6 linked regions of the Canis lupus familiaris genome follow. The protein of the gene in region 1 interacts with the protein of each later gene in a pairwise test. Links are inferred from orthologs where the notes say so. Each region holds a gene or a part of one and is shown in the gene's direction. Other genes may lie near its edges. The genes, in order: EXOSC8, DUSP23, TFAP4, SLAIN1, MORN4 and TXNDC17.

Region 1 (4,230 bases):
GGAGAGTGGTGGGACAGGAGGAGAGGGCAAACACCGACTCTTGCTCCCCCCTTGACTGCCTACCCACACCGAATCTGTGGAGTAGCCAGGTGCTTGTGGTGCTGAGCACTTATGAGAGAGGATACAAATATGTATGAGAAAAAAAAGCCCATGAGGTTAGAATGTGCAATTCTAATCTGGCCACACTATTTCTAACTTATGATATTGGATGAGTTAGAGTTTTAGCCTGTTTTCTCATTTAAAAACCCCCGCCAGACCAAAAAAAAAAAAAAAAAAAAAAAAAAACGGACCAGCCACAAAGCTCATTTTGTTTCCTTAAACTCTCCAAGAAGATTCCAGCAGCAGCTGATGATACAAAACAAGGACACATACTATTTTTCTTCTATTTATGCAGGGAAAGTAGAGAAAATAAATGAGCGGAACTCCTCTGAATAATAAAGAAAAACAATTTCACTCTAAGTCTTTTTCAAATAAATGTTTTAAAAAGTCACTAAAGTAAAAACAGCATCGTGTTGCCACACAGTCTGCAGACATACTTAATTTTAAATATATCATCAGGCAAGAGCATACAAAGTGGTTGGGAGGGTACATAAGAAATTTCTGCTTTCCGTTTGTTCTGGGTTCACCCACCTGCGTGCGTCTGGAGGTAGCGTGTCATGTGCTGGGCTTGCATGCTAACCCGTGATGGAAGGGGACAAGCTGAGCACAGGAGGCCCTGGTGACCTCGACGGCTTGGGCATGGCTGGCACTGCCTCTCTCAACAGATCTAGCCTGGGATCTCTAAATTGGTGATTTAGTCTAGTTTTAACTAGGGACATCATATTGAAAGAGAAATATGGTACCTGTCTCTTTTCCAGATAGCCCAAAGCTTCATCCATCATTACAGGCACTTAAAGAAAAAAAAATACATCTCTGAAAAATTGTTTTCGAAAATGATTTGCCAAGCCCCCACTCAGTTTACATATGGAAAAAGTCTGAATAGTCTAACAGAGCCCTCTCGGACCTCTTCCAGTGGCCCTTCCCAACTAGAAGGCCTGTTTTCTGTCCACAACTAGCTTAATGTCTCTCTAGAACACTTCAGTCCTATGACTTCATGATGCTGACCGTATTCTTTATAGCTGGCATTTGTTTCCACTCTCATGAACTACAACTACCAACTATGCACTCATCAGAGCCCACATCTACTAATGTTCTCACAAAGATAGTAAAGTTCATACTTTAAATTTCCTTTTCTTCCCAATGGCCCCATATCCCAAAAATGAAATTGGGCTTACACCGTTTTTCTTCATTGTATGAAGGCACAACAACGGAGAGCTGTTTGGTAGGCGAGTCCCATACGCTGGGCAAAGTTTCCTTCTGTCCTTTGGCATTTAAGAAGAACTTCTCCTCTTCATGTTGATGGAGATGTGGCATTTTTGTAGCAGTTATAAATGCAACAAAGGAAATCTAAAAGTAGGTATGTTAACAAGAAACTATATTATGTAAGATTACATCATTTATGTGATTTTTATTGTTGTTGTTAAATGTTCACTCTCAGTTTTTAGTCCATTAAGAATGGTCTGGAGGTGACACCAAATTCAAATCCCTTACTTATGAACTAATAATTGTCCTTCTTCCATTGGTAGGAACTAATGCCTTAGGAGCTGTGTCTTCCCACCTGTCATCCCTAGGCCTCTGTCATCCCAGATTTAATAGGGAATAGTCACCAGAGAAGTGCAATCCATTTTAAGATGCCCTGAATCTCCAACCCCTGGCTAATGATGACAACATTCATTTAGCATTGTTTTAAAGATCGCACAACATAAAACATTGAATACAATACCCCCAAATTATAAGTCCTCTATAAATGTTAGCTTTTTAAAAAATTATTTTATTTTCATTTATTCATGAGACAAAGAGAAAGGCAGAGAGACATAAGCAGAGGGAGAAGCTGCCTCCCTGCGGGAAGCCCAATGTGGGACTCGATCCCAGGACCCCGAGATCACGACCTGAGCCCAAGACAGATGCTCAACTGCTGAACCACCCAGGTGCCCTAAATAGTAGCTCTTATAATCACAAGCTGGTAGGATCAAATACTTCCAGTTCATCCTCAAAATGCACCCATTTAATTCTATAAAACAGATAGATCAAATAAACAGAGTCAATTTAGGATTCTGTCAAAACTCTGCCCCCACCAAAAACCTGAGAAAACCTTGAAATCTCCATCTACCCCTAACGGAGAGAGAGGACTCCTTTCTGACCCCGACACAAATCACCGAAGAAGTCAGGACACGTTGCTTTTTCTCTATAAGTTATTTCTAAACTGTGAAGTGTGCAAACCCGGCAAGGCGGAAGAACGGCCTTCCCAGCAGTGCTGTCAGGGGGGCTAATCTGGGTGTCAAGGAAGCTGGAACCTCTCCACGTACTAACTGGATGGCAGGCTCGTTCCAAATTATAAGGGAGAAAGCTCACTTGGCAAACCATTACTAATGAATCAGCAAGTGCTTACAATGTTTGTTTCCAGAGTGATGGCAAAGAAAATCCGAGTCTCAATTCTACTGTGCCCTCCTTTAGAGGCAGCGAATTTAGGGTGTTTAATCCCGGGTCATAGGGACTGCCAGACAACGGTAACAGCAGGCCTGCGTGCCTCGGCCTTACTGTGTCCCTCCTGGGTCTTCTTGATCCACTGATTCACCCCAATCTCTAGCAGATGGCTCTCGTCAAAGCTGTCACCACCTTCTAGTTGCTTCCCCGCATCAGGAGGGTCAGTCCAGGGAGCGCAAACCTCCTGGGGGGGCTCGAGACCTTCCCGGGTGCAGCCGGAACTGCACAGGCTGCAGATGCAGGAGGAAGGGGTGGAGAGGTCGGGACTGACAGGGCAGAGGTCGGGGGCGGCGGGGCCGGTGGAGGCTGACGGGGGCGCACGTCCCCCGGGGAACCAACGTTACAAGGGCCTGGCCGCAGAGGGAGGTAACGCTCCAAAATAAAGACAAAGAAGGGAAGAAAGGGGCTGTGAAGTTCTAGGAGAGGAAATCCTGGTCAAGTTTCGGGGGAGAGCGTGGGGGGAAAGGGACGCGTCGAAGCGTGCGGGGCAGAGGACAGGCTGCGTGGCGGCCGAGTCTCTGAGAGGACGGAGCCCAGGCCCGCGTCGGTCCCCAGCCCTCTGCTCACCAGCGTCAGGGCGGCGGCCGCCAGCGCCACGCCGAGCACAGCCAGCTGCAGCAGGAGCGCAATCATCGTCCATACCCGGCTGCCGCGCGCCCTCCCCAGCGCCTACACACACGCGGAAGCGCCGCCGCGCAGCTCCGCCTCCCGCCGGCAGAGCGGCCGAGCCCGCCCGCCGCCCGCCGCCCACAGCGCCCCTCGCGGCCAGGCGGCGCACACGCCGTCCCTGGCGGCCAGGCTCGCGCGCAGAGGCGGGCGCCGGGTTCCCCGCAGGGCTGACAGAACCCGCAGGCACACACAGGATTCCACCCAGTCGGAATTTCAGGTAGGCAGTGAGCGGCTTTTCGACAGCCGTCTTAAGACAGCACTCACGCACCGTGCAATCCACCCATTAAAAAGGTTTTATTGTATTCCATGAGTCTTTAAAAACGGAGACAGCATAAAATTTGCCATTTTAACCATTTTAAGGGTACGATACGGTGGTATTGGTTACATTCACAATTTCCTGCACCCATTATCTATTTCTAAAACATTCTTCGCTCCCAGCCGCCCCCGCCCCCCGCCCCGTAACAACTAATAACATGTACTATTTGGGGTATACTCATAGTGGGGAAAAATTAGCTTGTGTATCTGACATTAAAAATTAATTGGATGTTCTGTATTCCGTCTGGCAAACCTACCTAGGAGGGAGGTGACGGCTTTGAGAACAAACGCAGCCCACGGCACAAGCTGCTCCTCAGGAGCCCCTCCGGGGGCCCGCAGAGTGTACCGCGGGGCGATCACCAGCGCGCACAGAGTTTACGTGATTGCTCAGCAACTGGAGCTCCAGGGAGCCCTTCCCTTGGGGTGAGGCACGCCCAGGGCCCAGCCTGAGACAGAGGCGGGAAAGGACGCAGGAGCTCTGGAATAATGCCCCACACTTAATACTCACTCAATTCCTGGCAATAAGGTCGGCTTTCCCTTAAACTCCTGAGCTAGCATACCGTTTTTCTAAAGAGACACACCCGTCTCTTTCCCAATAGCAGATTCGACAAAACGCGTCCGAGGCCAAGAAGCCTAGAGGCGCGCTGGGCTCCTCCGAGCGGA
Region 2 (4,004 bases), on another chromosome or scaffold:
TAGGTGCCCTGGGCCCGGCCTGCCCAGCCACATCCCAGCTGCATGTCCTCGGCCGCGTTAACCCACCTGGGTTAGCCTCCGATCACACGTGTACAAAGGGGACCCAAACACACCGTCCACGTGTTGCTCTTCCAGAAAGCACTAGGCGCAGGGCCCGGGACAGCAGCAGATTCAACGAGGGCTAACAGCTCCCATCATTATGATCGGCCTGCGTCACCAGAAGCGCATTGTTCAGATGAGGACACGGATGGGTCAGGCCACAGCCAGCTCGCCCCATGGGAGCTGGGTCTCCACCATCGGGAGCAACGCCGGTGACCTCTGGCCGCCCCACGGGAGGGTGACACAGCCAGCCTGGAAGTCCCGAAACACTAAGAGAAATTCAGAAACCCCGCAGTTGTGGAACCCCGATGCTATTTGGGAGCGTGAGGATGGTCACGGAGGAGGGAACCAATACTGGGCTGCAAAGAGGCCGGGGCCAGGCCGCCTGCTTCCAAACCCGCAGGCCCGGAGCCACCTCGGCCAGGTTCCTGCAGCTGCGGAGCCTCAGTTTCCCCATCTGGAGACCATGGTTCATGAGGGCACCCGCTTGGTGAGATTGCTGCGGCTGGGTCGGCGATGTTAAAGGAGTTAACGCGGGTAAAGTGCTGTGGCAAGTGCCCAGTAAACGTGGCTTCTTCCGTCCGCAGGCGGCAGCCCCGGGCTGGGGGGTCCCCGCAGCGCAAACGCGGGACAGGCCTCCGCACGGCGCCGCTCGCCCGCACCGCCCCGGGTCGCCAAGCCCCTGGGACGCAGCGGCCATCCCGGCGGAGGAGGCCCGCGCGGACCCGGGGCGCCCGGGGCCCAGTCGGAGCGCGGAGGTCACGCCCGGGGTCGGCACGCGCGGGGACCCCGCTGCGCTGACCGCCACCGGCCGCCAGGGAGCAGCAGAGCCCGCCCCCGGGCGGCCCCGCCCACCCCCGGCGCCGCCGCCTGAGCTGCACCAATCCCCGCGCGCACCGCCGCCGTAAGCCCGCCCAGCCCCGGCCGCCCGGCCAATCAGCGCGCGGGCTGCCCCGGCCCCCGGCCTGCCCGCGGCGCCCGGCCCGTCACTCAGGGCCCGCTCGGCGCTGCGGCCCCGCCCCCAGGCGGCTCGGCCAATCCCCGCGCGGGGCGGGGGCGGGGCGGGGCGGGGCGGGCCCACGTGGTCCGGGCGGGGGCGGGCGGGGCGGGGCGCGGGGGGCGCTTCCGCGGCGATGGGCGCGCAGCCCCCCAACTTCTCGTGGGTGCTCCCGGGCCGGCTGGCGGGGCTGGCGCTGCCGCGGCTCCCCGCGCACTACCGCTTCCTGCGGGAGCAGGGCGTGCGGCACCTGGTGTCCCTGACGGAGCGCGGGCCCCCGCACAGCGACAGCTGCCCCGGCCTCACGCTGCACCGGCTGCGCATCCCCGACTTCTGCCCGCCCGCCCCCGAGCAGATCGACCGCTTCGTGCGCATCGTGGACGAGGCCAGCGCGCGCGGGGAGGTCCGCGGAAAGGGCGGGGGGCGGGGCACAGGCGGGGGCAGCGGGGGCAGCGGGGGCAGGAGGGGGCAGCGGAGGGCAGGGCGGGGGCTGGAGGGCGGGGCCTGCAGGGGTCAGCCGGGAGGCAGGGCGGGGACAGGAGGGGCAGGAGGGCGGGGGGCGGGGCAGGAGGGGGCAGGAGGGCGGGGACAGCGGGGCACAGGGCGGGGACAGCGGGGGACAGGGAGGGAGCAGGAGGGCGGGGGGCGGGGGCAGGAGGGGGCAGCGGGGGACAGGGAGGGAGCAGGAGGGCGGGGGGCGGGGGCAGGAGGGGGCAGCGGGGGACAGGGAGGGAGCAGGAGGGCGGGGGGCGGGGGCAGGAGGGGGCAGCGGAGGGCTGGGCGGGGGCAGGAGGGCGGGGGGCGGGGGCAGGAGGGGGCAGCGGGGGACGGGGAGGGAGCAGGAGGGCGGGGGGCGGGGGCAGGAGGGGGCAGCGGGGGACAGGGAGGGAGCAGGAGGGCGGGGGGCGGGGGCAGGAGGGGGCAGCGGAGGGCTGGGCGGGGGCAGGAGGGCGGGGCCTGCAGGGGTCAGCCGGGAGGCAGGGCGGGGACAGGAGGGGCAGGAGGGCGGGGGGCGGGGCAGGAGGGGCAGGAGGGCGGGGACAGCGGGGCACAGGGCGGGGGCAGCGGGGGACAGGGAGGGAGCAGGAGGGCGGGGGGCGGGGGCAGGAGGGGGCAGCGGAGGGCAGGGCGGGGGCAGGAGGGCGGGGCCTGCAGGGGTCAGCCGGGAGGCAGGGCGGGGACAGGAGGGGCAGGAGGGCGGGGGGCGGGGCAGGAGGGGCAGGAGGGCGGGGACAGCGGGGCACAGGGCGGGGGCAGCGGGGGACAGGGAGGGAGCAGGAGGGCGGGGGGCGGGGGCAGGAGGGGGCAGCGGAGGGCAGGGCGGGGGCAGGAGGGCGGGGCGGGACAGGAGGGGCAGGAGGGCGGGGACAGCGGGGCACAGGGCGGGGGCAGCGGGGGACAGGGCGGGGGCAGGAGGGGGCAGGAGCGCGGGACCTCGCGGGGCTCCGGGAGAGGGGGGAGGGCCCCCGCAGGCGCAGGGCAGTGGGGAACAGGGGGTGACCGCAGGGGGGAGAGGGCGGGGGGCGGGGCAGGAGGGCGGGACCTCGCGGGGCTCCAGGAGCGGAGGCGGGGCCCCCCCTGCCGAGACTAGACCGTGAAGCCCGGGGCCGGGGTCAGCGGGGGCAGGAGGGCGGGACCTCGCTGCGGGGCGGGGCGGGGCGGGGCGGGGCGGGGTTACGGGAGGTGGAGCCAGGGCAGCGGGAGGGCCCCGGGCCGCAGGGAGTGTGGCGAGAGGAGAGGGAGAAGCCGGCGCACGGGGAGACGCAGGTGGGAGGCGGCACCGCTGCGGGGTCTCGGGGCCACCCGCCTCCCACACACCCCGACTGGAGCCACCGTGTGACAGAGAAGGGTCAGGGAATCTCGTTTTGATGATACAGCGAAACCCAGTAAGTCAAAGTGTTAGGGTTTCTCCGTATGATCAACGCAAATGCTAAATGGCGGTAGGTCGTGCCTTGCACCCCGTGCAGAACCCGGTGGTTGCACCTCGGGGCGCAGGTTGGACTAGCGGCCTCTCCCACGCGCGGTGGCTTCTGCACTGGGAGGCGCAGGGACAGGGCTGCGGGGGGCCGGGAGCCCAGCACTGGAACCAGCTACGGGGGAGGTGATTGGTGGCCTCCACGCCGCCAGGTAGGGGACAGCTGTCCCTGACCTTGACATCCCCTCTCGCCCCCGAGATCCTTGCAACACCTGAGGGGCCCCAGCCCGACCCAGAAGAGGCAGGTGTAGAAAGGAGGCTCGCGCAGGGGAGGAGCGGGAGAGCCCCAGGGAGGGCATCAGACTCGGCCCCATCAAGCCCCCTCTTCCCAGGCGGTGGGAGTGCACTGTGCCCTGGGCTTTGGCCGCACGGGCACCATGCTGGCCTGCTACCTGGTGAAGGAGCGGGGCCTGGCTGCCGGGGACGCCATCGCCGAGATCCGACGCCTTCGACCTGGCTCCATCGAGACCTACGAGCAGGAGAAAGCCGTCTTCCAGTTCTACCAGCGGACCAAGTAAGGGGCGCGGCGCCCTCCCCTGAGCCTCGTGTCTGCTGGGGCCGGCGACGCAGACAGACGCTGACCCTGCAGGCAGGCCCCGACCCCCGACCAAAGGCGAGCTGTGGCCGTGCTGGGGGAGGTGGGGGGGGTGTCAGGGTTGCGGTGTGCACAGCTTTCCCCACGCCAGCCCCGTGAGCTGGGGACTGTCCTTCAGATGAGGTGGCTCAGGCTCTCGACCACACTTCTAGAAAGTGGTGGGATGGGCCAGGTCTTCAGCCCTTAAAGAGGCTAAGACCGTTCTCTGACAATCCCTGGCCTGTCTCCTGGGGAGCTGGTCAACGGAAAGGACACAGCCCCCCAGCAGCCCAGGATCTCCGATGGTCCCCGACCGGAGGGCCACAGGGGACACCCCCAGCCGAGGCCCGCCTGCCCCT
Region 3 (3,972 bases), on another chromosome or scaffold:
CATTCCGAGGCAGGCGTGGTCTTCCTGAGCCAGGGGCCAACCCGACAGAAGCCAGGGGAGGGGACTCGGGAGGGGGTACGGAAGCGGGCCGCCGCAGCGTCCTTGCCCCCCCGCCCCGGGCATCACCGTAGTAGAGAGCGCACCCTGGCGGAGGAGCAGGTCCCGCACGGCCTTAGGCATGAATGGGAAGCTTCGGGCCTCCTCTGCTGTCCAGCCTCCCCGCGGAGGGGGTAGTGGGAGGGTGGCTAGTGAGGGGGACCCGGCGGCAGCCACCAAATCTGCGGGCCGCTGCCGTCCTGGCCCGCCTCCAGCCTTCACTCCCCGCCGGGGCCCCCCGTTTCTAAAGGCAGCCCCAGGATCTGAGGCGCCCGGCGCGCCCCCTTCGCTCTGCACCCCCCCCTCCCCGCCCCCCGGCTCCGAAATTCCCAGGCTCCGGAGCCCAGGCTGGGCGGCCAACTGGGCAGCCAGGGAGGGAGGGGGCTGGCTGGCCTCCGAAGTCGGCCCCAAGTTACATGTGGGAAGAGGTGGCTGTGACGCAAGTTTCCAGGGGGCCCTGGGCTCGGAGGGAGCGCGCCAGAGCGGCTCCTCTCCATGCAGCTGCAACCCGAGCAGCACCCCAGGCCGCCTTCGCCGTCTCCGCGGGGCCCAGCTGCGCGCCCGCCGTCCCCGGGGGCCGCCGAGCGCGGAGACCCTGCACCGGGCAGTCCCCGCCGGACCCCGGACTCGCGGGCTAGGCTCCCTCGCAGTGGCTGGCCTTTTTTTTTTTTTTTTTTTTTTTTTGCAACGCTTGCCAACCTGTCAGCTGATGGACCTCATCACCCATAGTGGCGCATGTAGCTCGGCCGCAGCTCGCTCCATTCACACCGCGCCCCCCAGCCGCCCCACGGCCCCCGGCTCCCAGTGCCGGGGGGTTGGCCCGCAGACCCTGGCTGCCACTGGCCCCCGGGGGCCGGCGCCCCTCTCGCCCTGGCCTCGCGCAGCCCCGGGGGCGCTGCAAATAGTCCTTTGTTTACATGCAATTCCTTACTCCGCGGAAGGAGGCCGGGGGAGTGCTGAGTTTTCACCAGCTGTTTCCCGCCTTGAAACAGACATCTGATCAGCTGCAAACACACACACACATACACACGCCCGGGGAGGCAGGCCGGAGAGACCTCCCTCCCGCCCCTCCCGCCCGCCTCCCTCCCCTCGCCGCCGCCGCCGCCAGCATCTGGGACCGGCCGTTTCTGCACCTCCGTCCGGCGCTGCCCTTTGATTCGGATTTCCATCTTGCATTCTCCGGCGGACCGCGGGACCCGGCTCGTGCAGAGGAGGGGGGCCGATCGCTATGGAGTATTTCATGGTGCCCACTCAGAAGGTGCCCTCTTTGCAACATTTCAGGAAAACAGAGAAAGAAGTGATAGGAGGGCTCTGTAGGTGTGTACTCCTCCTCCCCCCCACCCCCTTCCCATGATTGCAGCCCCCGGCCAGCCCGCCCGGGCAGGCGCGCGTGTGCGCACGCATGGCCCGCGCTGCCAACCCCGCTCGCCTTTCTTAGCCGCCGGGGCGGCTACAGCCCCGCGCGCCGGGGTTGCGCCGCCGGGGGACCCTCCTCCCCCGGAACGTGGGGGCCCCGAGCGGCCCCGGTCACTTTTGTCCGCTGCAGGCGGGCGAGTCGCGACGTTTGTAAATTGCAAACAGACCCACGTGGTTCTGCAGCAGTCCCGGCCATGCTTGGTGCTGGTGGCTTTCCCCCCCGCGCTTCCTCCTCCCCCCTCCCGCGGCGGCTTCCTTCCTCTCCCTCCTTCTTCGCTGTCTCTGGGTACCCCCCTCCGTGGCGGTTTGGGGGGCCCGGGCCGCGCGTGGGGCCGTGGCGCGGGCGGCTACAATGCAGCCACGCCGCGGCTCTGGGCGCGAGGGGGGGATCCGGGAGCCGGGTAGTGTGTTTGTAGGGTGCGGGGCTGCGGCGGGGCCGGGGGGCGTGCTCGAGTGGGGGCGCGGGGATGGGTGGGACCCGGGAGGCCGGCGCTGCCGGCCGGGGGCGCCGCGGACCCGGGCACGTTGGCGGCCGCTCGCTCGCTTGCCGCCCGCGCCCGGGCGCTGTTTACTAGCGAGGCCTGGACGTGACTCTGCAGCCCTCTTGGAGTAGGCGGACCTCGGCGCGCCGCCTCGCGGGAGCTGTAGTTCCCCGCGCCCCGCCCTGCGGCATTGTGGGAGTTGTAGGCGTGCCCGGGCCACGCTTTCCTCGCACAAAGCTCAGCTCCCGAGGGCCGGGTGCGCCAGGCGGGCCCGCGGGGGGGTGCCTTTTGGGGAGGGGGCACCGGACAGTGCCCCTGGCCTCGTGAGGCCGTTGCCCGCCGCCCGCGGGGCTCGGCTGCAAACTTTCCCAGCCCACGCCCCTCCCCCAGCCCTAAACCGAAAGCGTCCAGCCCCACCGTGGGTGGGTGACCCCGGGGCCGCCGCCTTCCCCAGGAGCCACTTCCCAAGCGTGGCCTCGGTCGCTCCAGATCCATCCTTCACCAGAGGGTGACGGGTGCGCGCACCACTCACATCCCCATTCCCCTGGACCCTTGTTAAAATGCACGTGCCCGCCACTCGGATGGCCAGGAGGAGGACGGCCCTGTCCCTGAGCGTCTGCACCGAACTCGGCCCGCGGGACACGGCGGTGCTGCGTCTGGGGCTTCCCTGGGTGCCCCACTTGGGAACCTGCAGACCCCTTAGAACCCCGCGGCTCCTGGAGCGAAATGGCTCCCTAGGACTGGGGCCACGTGCTCAGCCGCCAGGGTCAGGCTGGGCGGGGATTGAGGGAGGAGGAGCCGGGGCGGCGTGGCCCGCGCTGCTGGACAGCAGGGGCTGCAGAAACCGGGTTCGGGGACGGGACGGTGGCTGCTCCTGTACACACACCTCCCCACCCCGCCCCAGGCTCCCACCTCGACGGTTCTAAAGTTCGGAGTCATGTGCAGCCAGGGGGGTGGCCACCCTGGGTGCTGGCCCTTCCTTAAGGTCTACCAGAAGGGCCTCCCTGTAATAAGAAAAAAAATTCTGGAGCTCTTAGTATGTTCTAGGGACTCGTTTTGATAGATTTTTTTTTTTCTCACTGAATTTTTACACTCTGCGTCCTGAGTTAAGCGGCCTTATACACATACACTGTATGGGGTGAGGACATGGGCTTGAGAAGGGAAGAGTTAGTTACAGCAAGTGTTGGGGCTGGGACTTGAACCCTGGTCCCAGAGCCCTGCTCCTATCCCTCGTGGCTGGTTGGTTGTTCAGAGAATGGCTGGGTAGGACTGTTTGAGCCTGATCCTGGGTAGGCTTAGCACAGTGGGGACCTCTAGCCACCAGGTCTGAGACTTAGTTGAATCCTCTCTTGACCTCCCAGGACTAGGAGTTATACTGTCCCTGTCCCAAACCCTGCTTTAGAGGAGTCTAGCAGTCTCCAGGGGTCAAGTGCCCCAGGCTTGGGCATGGGGACATGCTCAGCCTGCCTATCTATGAGACAGTTGAAGCCTGTGCAGTGGGTGTGGAGTTGGGACCTCTGGGTTTGTTCATTTTCAGAAGCTGTGGGGTGAGGTGGGATCAAGTGTGTGGGTTGGGTGAGAACTTCTGGCTTTATGGATTGGTTTCTGAGGCTGGGATCTTGTTCTATCCCTCAGTGACTAGGAGCACTCTCTGCCTCATCCCTCTCCCAGACCTACTGGAGGGGGCCATACTGCACAGTGGGCACCCCCACCCTGAGTCACCCTCAGAGCAAGGCTCATGCCCCAGCTGTGTGGTTTTGGACCTGTGTGGTCTCAGCATGTGCCACTTCAGTAAAATGGAGCACCTGTGAAGGTTAGGCTGTGTGTATGGAAAGTGCCAGTATCTGTTAAATTCTTAGAAGCAGGAGCACTGTGATCTTAAAGTGTTTACCTCCTGCCCTTGGGGGGAAAGAGACCAGTGCTCAGAAGGAGTTAGGGAACAATTAGGGGCTTTGGAGTGTGTGTGCTGGGTCCCTGA
Region 4 (3,940 bases), on another chromosome or scaffold:
CTGGATTCAATTCTTCTACCTAAAAGCCTCCCCCTGCCCCCCAGAGCAGATTTGCCAGTAGTTTCCAAAAGATGTAAGAAGCGCAGCTTGCAGGTGAGGTCAGGGATACTGGGATAGAGGTTTTGTTTTCCTCGGTTCCCTTCCACCCCCGTAAGTCAGTCTGACCTAATAGCTTGTAAATTATTAAAGAGATGGAGCACTATGCAATTTTACTCATGTTTCGCCTGTAATGATTTTTGCTTGTCCTGTTCACTGCGTGATGGTCAACTCTTAGAATCGGGTCTGGAGCAGTGAAGTGCTCCAAGGCCTTTTGTGTGATACGCGGTACGGAAAATGCTCTTGCTTTATCACGACCGGCACTGGTGGTAAAGGAATCATTTGAGTTCCTCCGCTTTAGGGTACACTGAGCACCACTGGGCTCTTCAGCAGCTGGCCTGTCTTAGAGGGACGTCTTCTTTCTCCCCGGCCTCCTGTCCCCCACCATTTTGCTTCTGTATTGCCAATTAGTGGATTAGTAGCACTGCCTCAAAGTCTTTCTGCTCCACGTTTTCACTTTTCAGCCCCGGGGTAACGTCCTCGGCCCTCGGGTTCTCCGCGGGCTTCGTGAGCCCGGGGCCAGTGGCTACGGCGGTTGGGCCGCAGCACGGCGCGGGCGCGGGGTGCGCGCCTCCAGGGCAGGCGCCTGCAGCGGGCTTCGGGGAACCCGGGCTCGCGGACCGCGCCGCGGGCGCTCGGCACAGCTGCGGCAGCGCCTCGGGCGGGAAAGCGCGGGCCGGGCCCCGCCAGGGCACCTGGGGGCAGGGCGGCAGGGGGCTCGCCTCCTCGCGCCGCAGGTCCCCGCCGGCCCCGCCCACCCGGCGTTCGCGCCCCGCCCCGCCCCGCCCCGCCCCGGGGCCGCGGCTAAAACCCGGAGCCGCCGCGCCGCCCGGGGGACCGGAGGGCGCTCTGAGCATGTGCAGAGCCGTTCGGCGGCGGCTGCCTCGGCCGGAGGCTGGGCCCCGGTGCTGATGCGAGCAGCCGGCTCGGCTCCTGCCCCAGCGTGGTCGGCGCCTCGGGCCGGGGCGGCAGGGAAGGAGCCGTAGCCTCCCCGCGGCCCGAGGAGCGGCGCGGCGGCGCGTCCCCCCCCCCCCCGCCCCCCACCGCCCGCGGCCGCGGCGCCCCCGGGGCCCACGATGATGGCGGAGCAGGTGAAATGCGCCTCGACAGGGGGCGGCTCCGGAGCGGGCTCCGGGCCGGTGGTGAACGCAGAGCTGGAGGTGAAGAAGCTGCAGGAGCTGGTGCGCAAGCTGGAGAAGCAGAACGAGCAGCTGCGGAGCCGGGCGGCGAGCGCGGCCGCCGCCCCGCACCTGCTGCTGCTGCCGCCGCCGCCGCCGCCCGCCGCGCCGCCCCCCGCCGGGGCCTGCAGCCCGTTGGGTCCCCGGAGCCCCCCGGCCGCCGCCGCCGCCGCCTCGGGGGGCCTGGGGCTCGGGCTGGCGCTGGGCGCCGGGGGCGGCTGCGGCGGCGGCGGCGGCTCCAGCCCCGCGTTCCCGGGCACCTTCTGCCTGCCCAGCCCGGCACCCTCCCTGCTCTGCAGCCTGGCACAGCCCCCCGAGGCGCCCTTCGTCTACTTCAAGCCGGCGGCGGGCTTCTTCGGCGCGGGCGGCGGCGGGCCGGAGCCGGGGGGCGCGGGGACGCCGCCGGGGGGAGCCCCCGCGCCGCCCTCGCCGCCCCCGACGCTGCTGGACGAGGTGGAGCCGCTGGACCTGGAGAGCGTGGCCGCCTGGCGGGACGAGGACGACTGCACCTGGTATTGCCGAGCTCCGCTCCCTCCCCCGGGGGCCCGGCCTCGGAGGCCCGGGGAGCGGGGTGGGCGTGGGCCGGGGCAGCGGGGGGGGGGGGGGGGCTCGCGGTCGCCCCCGGACGCGGTGGCCTGGCAGGTGCCCAGGTCCGCGAGGAGCCGGGGCCTTTCCCGAGGGCGAAACGTGTTTCTCGCAGCTCAGGCTGGCGCCGCCGGGGATGGGCCGGTCCCCTCCGTCTCCGCGGGCCCGCGCCCTGCTGCAGCGGCCCCCGGCGCCGTGGAGCAGTCACCGAAGAACCCGTGCCTTCTTTTTGTTACTCGGTCCAGCTTCCCGCCCGCCCCATCATCTGGGGGGAGGCACGGGGGATGGGGAGGGGTTGGCCTCCGTCTGCGAGGCCAACCTGGTCTTTCCTCCCCGGCGGACCTGGGCAGGGTCTGTGCGGCGGGGGGGTGCCCTCCCGTGGCTTCCCCCGCCGCTTCCCCAGCCGCCGCCTCGGAGATTCGTTCTTGCGGTTTGAGCTGTGCGGTCGCACGTCCTCGTCCGCTGCATTTTCCTTGATCGCCTCTCATTTCAAAGCCTGACTAGCTGTTTTGAGATGTGCTGCCCTCACTGGCTTTCCTGTCACTAATGGTGTCAAAGATGGGGGCAGCTTGAAGACACTTTACTTCGAAACCAAGGATCTTTCTTTAATTCTTTTTTTTTTAAATCGAACTGTTGATTGAAGAAAAGGGAGATTAGAGAAACTTTATTATAATTATAATCATTATTTTTTTAGAAACTAAGTTATCTAAAAACCTGTGGCTGGCAGCAGCATTTCACTGGAAATCTGGTTAGCTCTTCTCTCCATCAATGAGTGACTTTGAAGGGGAGGGTCCGGTTACCTTAGTGTTTTTACGCTACGTTCTCATGGAGTGAGTTCCTTTCGTGACCTACTTCTTTTGGTTGCTTCATTTGCTTTCCTCCATCTCCTAGGGGTAGTGGGACAGGGGAAGATGAGTAGAAGCCTCAGAAAGTGGAACTTTGATTCCCGCAGGGAAAATGCACAGCATTCACCTTTAAGTAGCTGTGGCAGGAAGAAGAGTTGGAGCCCTTCTTTTATCTCGGGTTCTTCCTGCTCCTGGAGGCTGGATTTCCCTCACTTTCTCTGTGGTCCTGTTGCATGATCTCACACGGAGGAATGGGAAATGGAGACTCTTACTGGTTTTCTGTTGAGACCTGTGGTGTTCCTATATACTTAGAGCTCCTGACTGCAAAGTACATTAATTGGTTTGAACTGCAGAATCCAAACGTATCTGGAGCATCTCCTCCTCCTCAGTACTCTCCCTGTTGGCAGGCAGCTGTGCTGGTAGCTCAAGTTGTAAAAACCAAAACAACTCCCCACTTTTGGGAGCTTTATAAGCCGTACTTTAGATATTACACCTTTGTTTTTCTGTGAAGCCCAGGCTGTATTGTAAACTCAGTTTCAGCCTGAACATGGCACTAGAAAATGCTCTCATGTTGGTCGTTCTTAGGTTATAATAACTCTAAGCCCATATGTTGCTTTCAAATTACGTTACATTGATTTAGTTCCCACTTGGCCTTTTCTGGAAATATGTACTTAAATGGTAGAAGGAAACTTGTTTGTGTTTTTGATGGGCATCAATCCTGTACGTTAAAAGTGTTAGCATTTTTAAACGTATTATGATATGCTTATAATTTTGGAAGTGTATTCAAATGGGGTAGTATATACATAGCTAATATAATAGTATTTTCTTCCATTGAATGGACTTCTCCCTATTGTCCAACTACTGCTAGAATTTTGATATGTAGGCTTTTTTTTTTGTAGTTTGTTTTTTGTCAAAATAGTATTGAAATAACTTTGGGGAAAAAAAATGACCTGCTCTGTGGGATTACTTTGTTAGCACTTCAGATGGTTTGAAGTGAATGTAAAGTATAGCAGGTTCTACTAATTTCACTCATCAGCTATTTAGGGGAGTACATAAATCAATGCCTTGACGCTTTATAGATGTTTCTACAGACAAGTGGCACATTGTTTTATGGCCTATCTTTTTCATTTGTTTGTTTGTTTGTTTTAATTTTTTAAATTTATTTATGATAGTCACAGAGAGAGAGAGAGAGAGAGAGAGAGGCAGAGACATAGGCAGAGGGAGAAGCAGGCTCCA
Region 5 (3,500 bases), on another chromosome or scaffold:
AGAGTAATTTGTGCTCATTTTCACAGTCTCCTGAATGATCACATCTGCCTTGCAAGCTTTTCTGGCTGCGGGCTCTTGCCGCTCCAAAGCATCCTGTTTCCTGCTGACCCATTCGTTTTTCCGCAAGCACCCCTTTCAGATTACTTGCCTGTTCAAAAATCCCCAGAGCCTTCGTCTTTCCCCCACCTTATTAGCTGTAAATTCTTCTGCCTAGCTTTCCAAGATCCCCTTAGAGTGGCCTGATCCTAAAAGCAGAGTGTGCAACACGAGAGAGAAAGAATGAGCAGCAGGCAGGGGAGGCCAGGACCCGAGTTCCAGCCCAGCCACTGACTGGCTTTTCACTTCCTTCTCTCCGTCTTTGAAATGATGGAGTTTGGATTTAACTCTGAGAGGCTGGGACACTGGGTGGCTCAGTGGTTGAATGTCTGCCTTTGGCTCTGGACATGATCCCAGATTCCTAGGATCTAGTCCCACATTGGGTTCTTTGCATGGAGCCTACTTCTCCCTCTGCCTGTGTCTCTGCCTCTCTTTCTGTGTCTCATGAATGAATAAATAAAATCTTTAAATCAATCAATCAATCTGAGAGGCTTTTTTTTTCAGATTTCAGAGTTTGGCTGAGTACCTAGATAGACTTATTTCCCATTACTCCTTAAATAAACCTTCAAGTGCAATAAGACCCAACTTAATATTTTCCCACCGACCATCCAGGTTATGTTGCTGTTTGTGCTTCCATTCCTCAGGTTTTCTCCATGGGCAGCCGCCCTTTGCTTTCTTGACTGCTTGCTTTCAGTTGTGCCCATCCCTTGTGGGTTTGTTTTTGTTTTTGTTTTTTTAATTTTTATTTATTATTTATTTGAGAGAGAGCGAACACACAAGCAGGGGGAGGGACATACAGAGAGGGAGAAGCAGACTCCCCACTGAGCAGGGAGCCCAATGCAGGACTTGATCCCAGGACTCTGGGATCATGACCTGAGCCAAAGGCAGACATTTAACTGACTGAGTCACCCAGGCTCCCCAACCATCCCTTGTCTTTGTACATCTCTACCATCCAGTTTGGCACTTAATTATATTACCTCTCCTATTGTTCAGTATGTCAGCTACTAGTCTTACCAACTAGACTGTAAACTCATTGAAGGAAGAGACCATATTTTATACATCAACTAAATACAGAGTACGTATCAAGCAAATATTTGTAAATTCATCTTCAATTTCTATCTCAGGTCATAGAAAATTGGAATTGGCTGACAACTTTTTTTTTTTTTTTTTTAGATTTTATTTATTTATTTGAGAGAGAGTGTGAGTCAGGGGAAAGGGCAGAGGGAGAGGGTGAAAGAGAATCCCAAGCAGACCACATTGAGTACAAAGCCCAGTGCAGGGCTCGATCCCAAAACCCTGAGATCACTACCTGAGCTGAAACCAAGAGTCGGAAGCTTAACCAACTGAGTCACTCAGGTGCCCCAGGCTGATAACTTTTAAGTTGGAGGATAAGACTGCTTGAGCCAAGGTGATCTGGGGGTGGGGAGGTTGGAGAGGTGGGCATGTTTGTTAAATGTATCCAGGGTAATATATATACTCACTGGGCTAGTTTATAGAATGTTTCTGCAAAATTGCTTTGCAAGCCTTTCCTCCAACCATCCCGTGACTCTGGTTCTCTCCTCTGTTTCCTGCAGTTTTTATCCTTTTCTTCCTTCCATAGCTGTCACCATGACCCTGACAAAAGGTTCCTTCACCTACTCCAGTGGGGAGGAATATCGTGGAGAGTGGAAGGAAGGTAAGAGAATCCCTGGGGGATCAAGTGAGGAACACTTCATTTGGCTGAAGGACAAATGCATCAGGCTAGATAAGCCAACTGCATGAGTCTTCATGTCTAACTCCAGGATTTAACCTGAATAGTGCCTTGCCTTTCTTTGGTTTTAGGATTAAATAAAGGAATTAGAAAACCTCATTGTTTGCCCAGTAAGTTAAGGAAGACCTGGAAATTAGGACAGATACTCAAGGGCAAATGACAGTCATTTCCTTGAATTTTCTGTGACAGCTCCTTGCATTTGGAAGTGTCTATTCACAGGCTTAGTGAAATTCCACAGAGCCTGAGAAACACAGTCTGACCATTTAAGAGCCTCATGGGGCCAGTCCTGGCAAGCCAGGAACTGCCCCGAGGAGCCGTGACTTCCAACAGTTGTGCCAGGGAAGAGTTCAGGCCGTTTCAACATGCACCCCATTCTTTTCACGTTAGATACCTGTAGCTGATGAATTCTTGAGCCCTGAGAGGCGAAACTGGACAGACGGGATGTAACCTTGCCTCCCCAACACCTGCCGTCCCCTCAGATCTGGCCAGTTAGAGGCGCCAGTCTGCTAGGCAGTCTCTATCCCTTAGAGGAACTCCCTTGTACTCTCCTGGAAAGACATGATTGCTCCTCCAGCATCGTGCCATTTTTCTGGTCAGTTCAGTGGATAACAAAGCCTGAATCATTGCCATCAGTCGACTGTTCAGTTTGTCCCCTAGCTTCACGGTGCCATGTGGCACTTTTTTTCTCTCAGAGAGGCAACATATAAGTCAGTGTTGAGAGTTCTCCGGTCCAGATGCCCACTGCATTTGCATTCTTACTCTGCCACTTAACAGCTCTGTGGTCTTAAGGAAGTGATTTAGCTTCTCCTAGCCTTACTTTCTGCATCCGTGAAATGGGAATAATAATAGTACTGTGCCTATCTCTTCATGTCGTGAGGATTAGATAGGATGATAAATACAAAGTGAGAAGGGTGCCTGACACGGAGTAAAGGCACTATGGTAGCTAGTGTTATTTTTTTTTTTAAGATTCTATTTATTTATTCATAGACAGTGAGAGAGGCAGAGACACAGGCAGAGGGAGAAGCAGGAATCATACAGAGAGCCTGATGTGGGACTCGATCCAGGGTCTCCAGATCACGCCCTGGGCTGCAGGCGGCGCTAAACCGCTGCGCCACCGGGGCTGCCCGCTAGTGTTATTTTTAAGTGCTCTCTTGTTCATACGTAGTGAGACCTGCTCCAAATCTGATGCTTGTGACAAGATGGGAAGGTCCTGGAAGCCGGATTTTCCTGGTGCCTGTTCTGGGTAGTAGTTCTCTGCCCTGCTAACATCACTGCTTCTCTCCTTTTGTTTGTGCATGGGGTGACAAAAGACAAGGGAGATTGGGCAAGGAGGGTGTTCCTGAAGCTGCCTCTGAACCCTGACAACTGTCTTTTTCTTTGCCTAGGCCGCAGACATGGTTTTGGTCAACTGATGTTTGCAGATGGTGGCACCTACCTGGGTCATTTTGAGAATGGGCTCTTTAATGGCTTCGGGGTACTGACCTTCTCAGATGGCTCAAGGTAAGTATTGGGTCATTCTTTTTTCAGCTTTGATAGTGATAGCTGGTCAGACCTGAGCTTGGCCCAGGCCCTCTGAAAACAGGCGAGAAGTAAGCAGTTCTTTTATTAGTTACTTTATAAATAGATCTAAAATTTGAAATGGCAAGGAGCCGAA
Region 6 (4,053 bases), on another chromosome or scaffold:
CAGGAAGCCCGGCCCGGGATGCCCCTTTCGAGCGGGCCCTCCACCGGCACCGGGTGGAGCTGCACCCTGCTGCCCGCCCCGCACCCCGAGGCCGCCCGCACGGCCTGCACCTTTAGCCACAGTTCCAGGATGCTCTCGTGGCCCGCGGAGCCCGGCCGCCCCTTCCTCTCGCAGCCCCGGGGGCTCGGGCCCGCCGCCCCCTCCCTCTCCGCCTCCCGCCCGGCCCCGGTCACCCACACCGACCCCACCGGCCCCACCACCTGGGGCTCCCCAACCGCGCCGTCCACCCACACGACCCCCGGGGCCCTCGCTACGGGGGCTGCGGCGCCAGGGCTCCCCGCCGCCTCCGGCCCCCCGGCCCCCGCCGCCCCCGCCGCGGCCCCCGTCCCCGGCGGCTGCCCGAAGCCGGGGGGCCCGTCCGCGCTCACGCAGCGCGCCTCCCACGCGGCGCCCCGGGCTCGACGGCCCGCTCCCCGGCCTCGCGGCGTCCCCGCGGGGCACCGCCTCCCCCACGGCTGCCCGCGCCCCCGCCCCGGCCGGCTGGGCCCCACGCAGCGGCCGGCCGCCCCGCTCATGGCCGCAGGCCCGCGCGCTCCCCCACCGCCTTCCCGGCCGCACGCGCGCACGCAGCCCGCCGCCGCCGCCCCGACCCCGCCCCGGGGACCCCCACACGCCGCAGGAGCGCGGTGCTCGGGCGGCTCGGCGTCCCCAGCGCCGGGGCGCGGCTCCCGGCGCGACCTCCCGGAACCCCCCAGTCCCGGCCCGAGCCCACCTGCCTGCGGCGCGGCGGCTACCGGGAGGCCGCCTGGGAGCCGGCTAGGCCGAGCTTCCGGCCGCTCGCCCGGTCGCCATAGCAACGGGCGCGGGGCGGCCTGGGAGCCGTTAGGGCTCTCGAGCCAGCCAGGGGTCCCCGGGCGGCGTGGCGGCGGGCCGGGCAGCCACCGCTCATGGGGCCGGGGCCGGGGCCGGGGCGGCTGGGGCAGAGACTCGGCTATCAGCGGAGGGCCGGCGCCGGGGGCGCGGAGAGACGGGCGCACAGGGGCAACACCGACGCCGTATGGCCGCCTGAGGTCTCCGTAGCGCCGCGGACCGCCCCTGCCGTCGGCCCCGCCCCTGCTGCCGGCCCCCCCGCCCCTGCTGCCGGCCCCGCCGCTGCTGCCGGCCCCCCCGCCCCTGCCGTCGGCCCCGCCCCCGCCGGCCCCCCCGCCCCTGCTGTCGGCCCCCCCGCCCCTGCTGCCAGCCCCGCCCCTGCTGCCGACCCCGCCGGAAGCAGCCGCGCCCCGCCCGGCAGGCTGTCCCGCCCGGAGCCCCAGCCTCTCGGGGTCCCGGCCAGCCCAGCGCGGCGCGCTGTCCAGATGGCGGGCTGCGAGGAGGTGAGCGTGTCGGGCTTCGAGGAGTTCAGCCGGGCGGTGGAGCAGCACCACGGCAAGACCATCTTCGCCTACTTCACCGGCTCCAAAGACGCCGGGGGCAGGAGCTGGTGCCCCGACTGCGTGCAGGGTGAGGCGGGGGGCGGGGGCGCCCGTGGCTAGTCCTCCTGCTCCCCCCGCTCCAGCCCGTCCAGCACCCCGGCCCCTAGCCCTGCTCCCCACACCCCCGCGCCTTCCCGCTCCACCCCAACACCCCGTCCAGCACCCCGGCCCCTAGCCCTGCTGTGCCCCCCAACCCCCCGGCTTCAGCCCATCCAGCTCCTCGGGTCCCTAGCCCTGCTGGTCGCCCCCCCCCCCCCCCCCCCCCCCCCCCCCGGCACTCCATGCCTGTGAATCAGCCATCCTGCCTCTCCAGGGCGCTCAGGACGCTCGAGGCTCGGGTACCGCTGCTCTCAGGGCAGGTGCAAGCCTGCCTACTCACCCAGATGTCATTTCTCTGTGCGACCTTCCACAGCTCATATGTAATTATTTATACCTTTTTTGTTTTTCAAGCTGAGCCTGTCGTGCGAGAGGGGCTGAAGCATATTAGTGAAGGATGTGTGTTCATTTACTGCCAAGTGGGAGAGAGACCTTAGTAAGTGTGTGTGCCTTCCCTTTACTTCCCAGACATGGCTCTGGACCTTTGCAGACTTAGGCGGGAGGGGCCTCGGGACTCAGGTTCTCCGTCCTCAGGAGTGGGGAAAAGTCGTGCCATTAGAAGTGAATCTACAAATTTTGAGCATTTAGCTGCTTATGTTACAGGTGATGTCAATGAATTTGGCTTAGTATTAGTTCAGAACTTAGCAGTCTACGTTTATTTTTTTTTTAATTTTTTTTTTAATTTTTATTTATTTATGATAGTCACAGAGAGAGAGAGAGGCGCAGAGACACAGGCAGAGGGAGAAGCAGGCTCCATGCACAGGGAGCCCGATGTGGGATTCGATCCCGGGTCTCCAGGATCGCGCCCTGGGCCAAAGGCAGGTGCCAAACCGCTGCGCCACCCAGGGATCCCCTACGTTTATTTTAGTTCATAGTCACGCTTTAAAAGACGTGAGGACACCTGGGTGGCTCAGCAGTTGAGCGTCTGCCTTCTGCTGGGGTCGTGATCCTTGGGCTCCTGCGAGGAGCCCGCTTCTCCCTCTGCCTGTCTCTGCCTCTCTGTTTCTCATGAATAAATCTTTAAAAAAAGGAAAAAAAAAAACTGCATAGTCCCAAAGTCATAACCCTCAAGGTTTGATGTTTACAACAAAAACAGTGATTACTAAAAGACTAAATGTGGGAATATATCAAATATTAAGTAACCTACAAGAAACCATGATCACTTTTTCTTTTCAAAACAGTTGGAAAGATCCAAATAATGACTTCAGAAAAAACCTGAAAGTAACAGCAGTGCCTACACTACTTAAATATGGAACAGTAAGTGTCTTTGTTTTCATCATGCTGGGGCTACAATTCACATCAGAACTCTTTGTTCTGGATTCAAATTTGAAAAGATCTTGGCGTTTCATCCCAAATATCACATTGGTGTTCAGAGTGCATTAAAAATACACAGACTGGCTGTCCATCCCTGGGGCTAATTCCAATAGACTATTAATAATGCAAATATCTAAACGTTAGATCTTCATGCTTTGTAAAAGGCACTCCATTTTAAAATTCTCTAAGTGCCACTCACTGCTCAGAATGGTGGTTAACACCTCATTTCTTACACTAGCACAGTACTTGTTTCCCATTTCACCCAGAATCCTCATTGAAAGTTTAGCCATGGCCCTGGCATTCTAAATTAAAGAGCTGAGGGGAGGGAATGGCACTGGGCTTGCTGTCTCTTGTCTTAGTATGCAGAGCCAAGTAACTTAACTATTTCATAAGACTTGTTACAACTAGTTGATAGTTTTTGAAAGGCGATTAAGTTCTCTGCTGTGAGATTTGTGTCACTCCAGGTGGAACACCACATTCCCTGCCACATTCCCTCCCAGTTTTGTAGCTGTCAGGTAAGATTAGACTGTTCTTCTCTTACAGCCTCAAAAACTGGTGGAATCTGAGTGTCTTCAGGCCAATCTCGTGGAGATGTTGTTCTCTGAAGATTAAGATTTGATGATAGCAATTGTGTCTTGATTTCCTGATTTGCTCTAGTATAAAGGCAATTGCACACTTGCTTTGAATTTATGTTAGCAATAAATAAATGATGTAAAAAAGTGATTTATGTCTAAAAAGTGCCATTAAGGGACGTCTGGGTGGCTCAGTTGGTTGAGCGTCTGCCTTCAGCTCAGGTCATGATCTCAGGGTCCTGGAAGCTCCACATCGGGCTCCCTGCTCAGCCTGGAGTCTGCTTCTCCCTCTGCCCTTCCCCCTGCTTGTGTTCTCTCTGTCAAATAAAATCTTTTTTAAGTGTTATTAAAATGCTCATAAACTCTCAATTTGCTTGTAATATATGGGAATCTTTAAGATGTAGGTAAGTCAAGTCTTCAAGGGTGACAGTAATAGCACAAGGGAATGGATTATGGAGGTGACAGAAATGTCTAAAAGTCTCTACCAGTACAGAAAACAAATTCCAAATCTCAAAAGGAGTTAGCATCTTTTACCATAAATGCTACAAATTTATAAAGAACTGTTACTCCTAAAGCATCTTCTTTGGCTCTAGAAAGTA

Evidence for each region.
Region 2: the proteins of EXOSC8 (region 1) and DUSP23 interact in binary tests that used the Homo sapiens proteins (3 or more experiments, as listed by UniProt). The two-hybrid records come from large-scale screens. The link is inferred for Canis lupus familiaris from reciprocal best matches to the Homo sapiens genes EXOSC8 and DUSP23.
Region 3: the proteins of EXOSC8 (region 1) and TFAP4 interact in binary tests that used the Homo sapiens proteins (3 or more experiments, as listed by UniProt). The two-hybrid records come from large-scale screens. The link is inferred for Canis lupus familiaris from reciprocal best matches to the Homo sapiens genes EXOSC8 and TFAP4.
Region 4: the proteins of EXOSC8 (region 1) and SLAIN1 interact in binary tests that used the Homo sapiens proteins (3 or more experiments, as listed by UniProt). The link is inferred for Canis lupus familiaris from reciprocal best matches to the Homo sapiens genes EXOSC8 and SLAIN1.
Region 5: the proteins of EXOSC8 (region 1) and MORN4 interact in binary tests that used the Homo sapiens proteins (3 or more experiments, as listed by UniProt). The two-hybrid records come from large-scale screens. The link is inferred for Canis lupus familiaris from reciprocal best matches to the Homo sapiens genes EXOSC8 and MORN4.
Region 6: the proteins of EXOSC8 (region 1) and TXNDC17 interact in binary tests that used the Homo sapiens proteins (3 or more experiments, as listed by UniProt). The two-hybrid records come from large-scale screens. The link is inferred for Canis lupus familiaris from reciprocal best matches to the Homo sapiens genes EXOSC8 and TXNDC17.

Annotation. Positions count from the first base shown.
Region 1 is NC_049246.1:3,769,858-3,774,087, reverse strand, and holds the start of EXOSC8 (exosome complex component RRP43), read left to right. Parts: upstream 1-1,430; coding exon 1,431-1,456; intron 1,457-2,488; exon of another isoform or gene 2,489-3,012; intron 3,013-3,150; coding exon of another isoform or gene 3,151-3,223; exon of another isoform or gene 3,224-3,291; intron 3,292-3,824; exon of another isoform or gene 3,825-4,230. Other genes in the region: ALG5 (dolichyl-phosphate beta-glucosyltransferase), read right to left, coding at 843-889, 1,275-1,446, 3,151-3,216. UniProt on the Homo sapiens protein: Non-catalytic component of the RNA exosome complex which has 3'->5' exoribonuclease activity and participates in a multitude of cellular RNA processing and degradation events.
Region 2 is NC_049259.1:23,177,065-23,181,068, reverse strand, and holds the start of DUSP23 (dual specificity protein phosphatase 23), read left to right. Parts: upstream 1-1,204; 5' UTR 1,205-1,232; coding exon 1,233-1,499; intron 1,500-2,770; exon of another isoform or gene 2,771-2,964; coding exon of another isoform or gene 2,965-2,982; intron 2,983-3,403; coding exon 3,404-3,585; coding exon of another isoform or gene 3,586-3,589; intron 3,590-4,004. UniProt on the Homo sapiens protein: Protein phosphatase that mediates dephosphorylation of proteins phosphorylated on Tyr and Ser/Thr residues. In vitro, it can dephosphorylate p44-ERK1 (MAPK3) but not p54 SAPK-beta (MAPK10) in vitro. Able to enhance activation of JNK and p38 (MAPK14).
Region 3 is NC_049227.1:37,390,406-37,394,377, forward strand, and holds the start of TFAP4 (transcription factor AP-4), read left to right. Parts: upstream 1-1,172; 5' UTR 1,173-1,324; coding exon 1,325-1,413; intron 1,414-3,972.
Region 4 is NC_049243.1:31,288,914-31,292,853, forward strand, and holds the start of SLAIN1 (SLAIN motif-containing protein 1), read left to right. Parts: upstream 1-1,140; 5' UTR 1,141-1,172; coding exon 1,173-1,786; intron 1,787-3,940. UniProt on the Homo sapiens protein: Microtubule plus-end tracking protein that might be involved in the regulation of cytoplasmic microtubule dynamics, microtubule organization and microtubule elongation.
Region 5 is NC_049249.1:11,062,080-11,065,579, reverse strand, and holds part of MORN4 (MORN repeat-containing protein 4), read left to right. Parts: intron 1-1,670; exon of another isoform or gene 1,671-1,696; 5' UTR 1,697-1,704; coding exon 1,705-1,771; intron 1,772-2,950; exon of another isoform or gene 2,951-3,031; coding exon of another isoform or gene 3,032-3,089; intron 3,090-3,231; coding exon 3,232-3,346; intron 3,347-3,500. UniProt on the Homo sapiens protein: Plays a role in promoting axonal degeneration following neuronal injury by toxic insult or trauma.
Region 6 is NC_049226.1:30,900,979-30,905,031, reverse strand, and holds TXNDC17 (thioredoxin domain-containing protein 17), read left to right. Parts: upstream 1-1,253; 5' UTR 1,254-1,355; coding exon 1,356-1,500; intron 1,501-1,922; coding exon 1,923-2,004; intron 2,005-2,749; coding exon 2,750-2,825; intron 2,826-3,425; coding exon 3,426-3,494; 3' UTR 3,495-3,605; downstream 3,606-4,053. UniProt on the Homo sapiens protein: Disulfide reductase. May participate in various redox reactions through the reversible oxidation of its active center dithiol to a disulfide and catalyze dithiol-disulfide exchange reactions. Modulates TNF-alpha signaling and NF-kappa-B activation.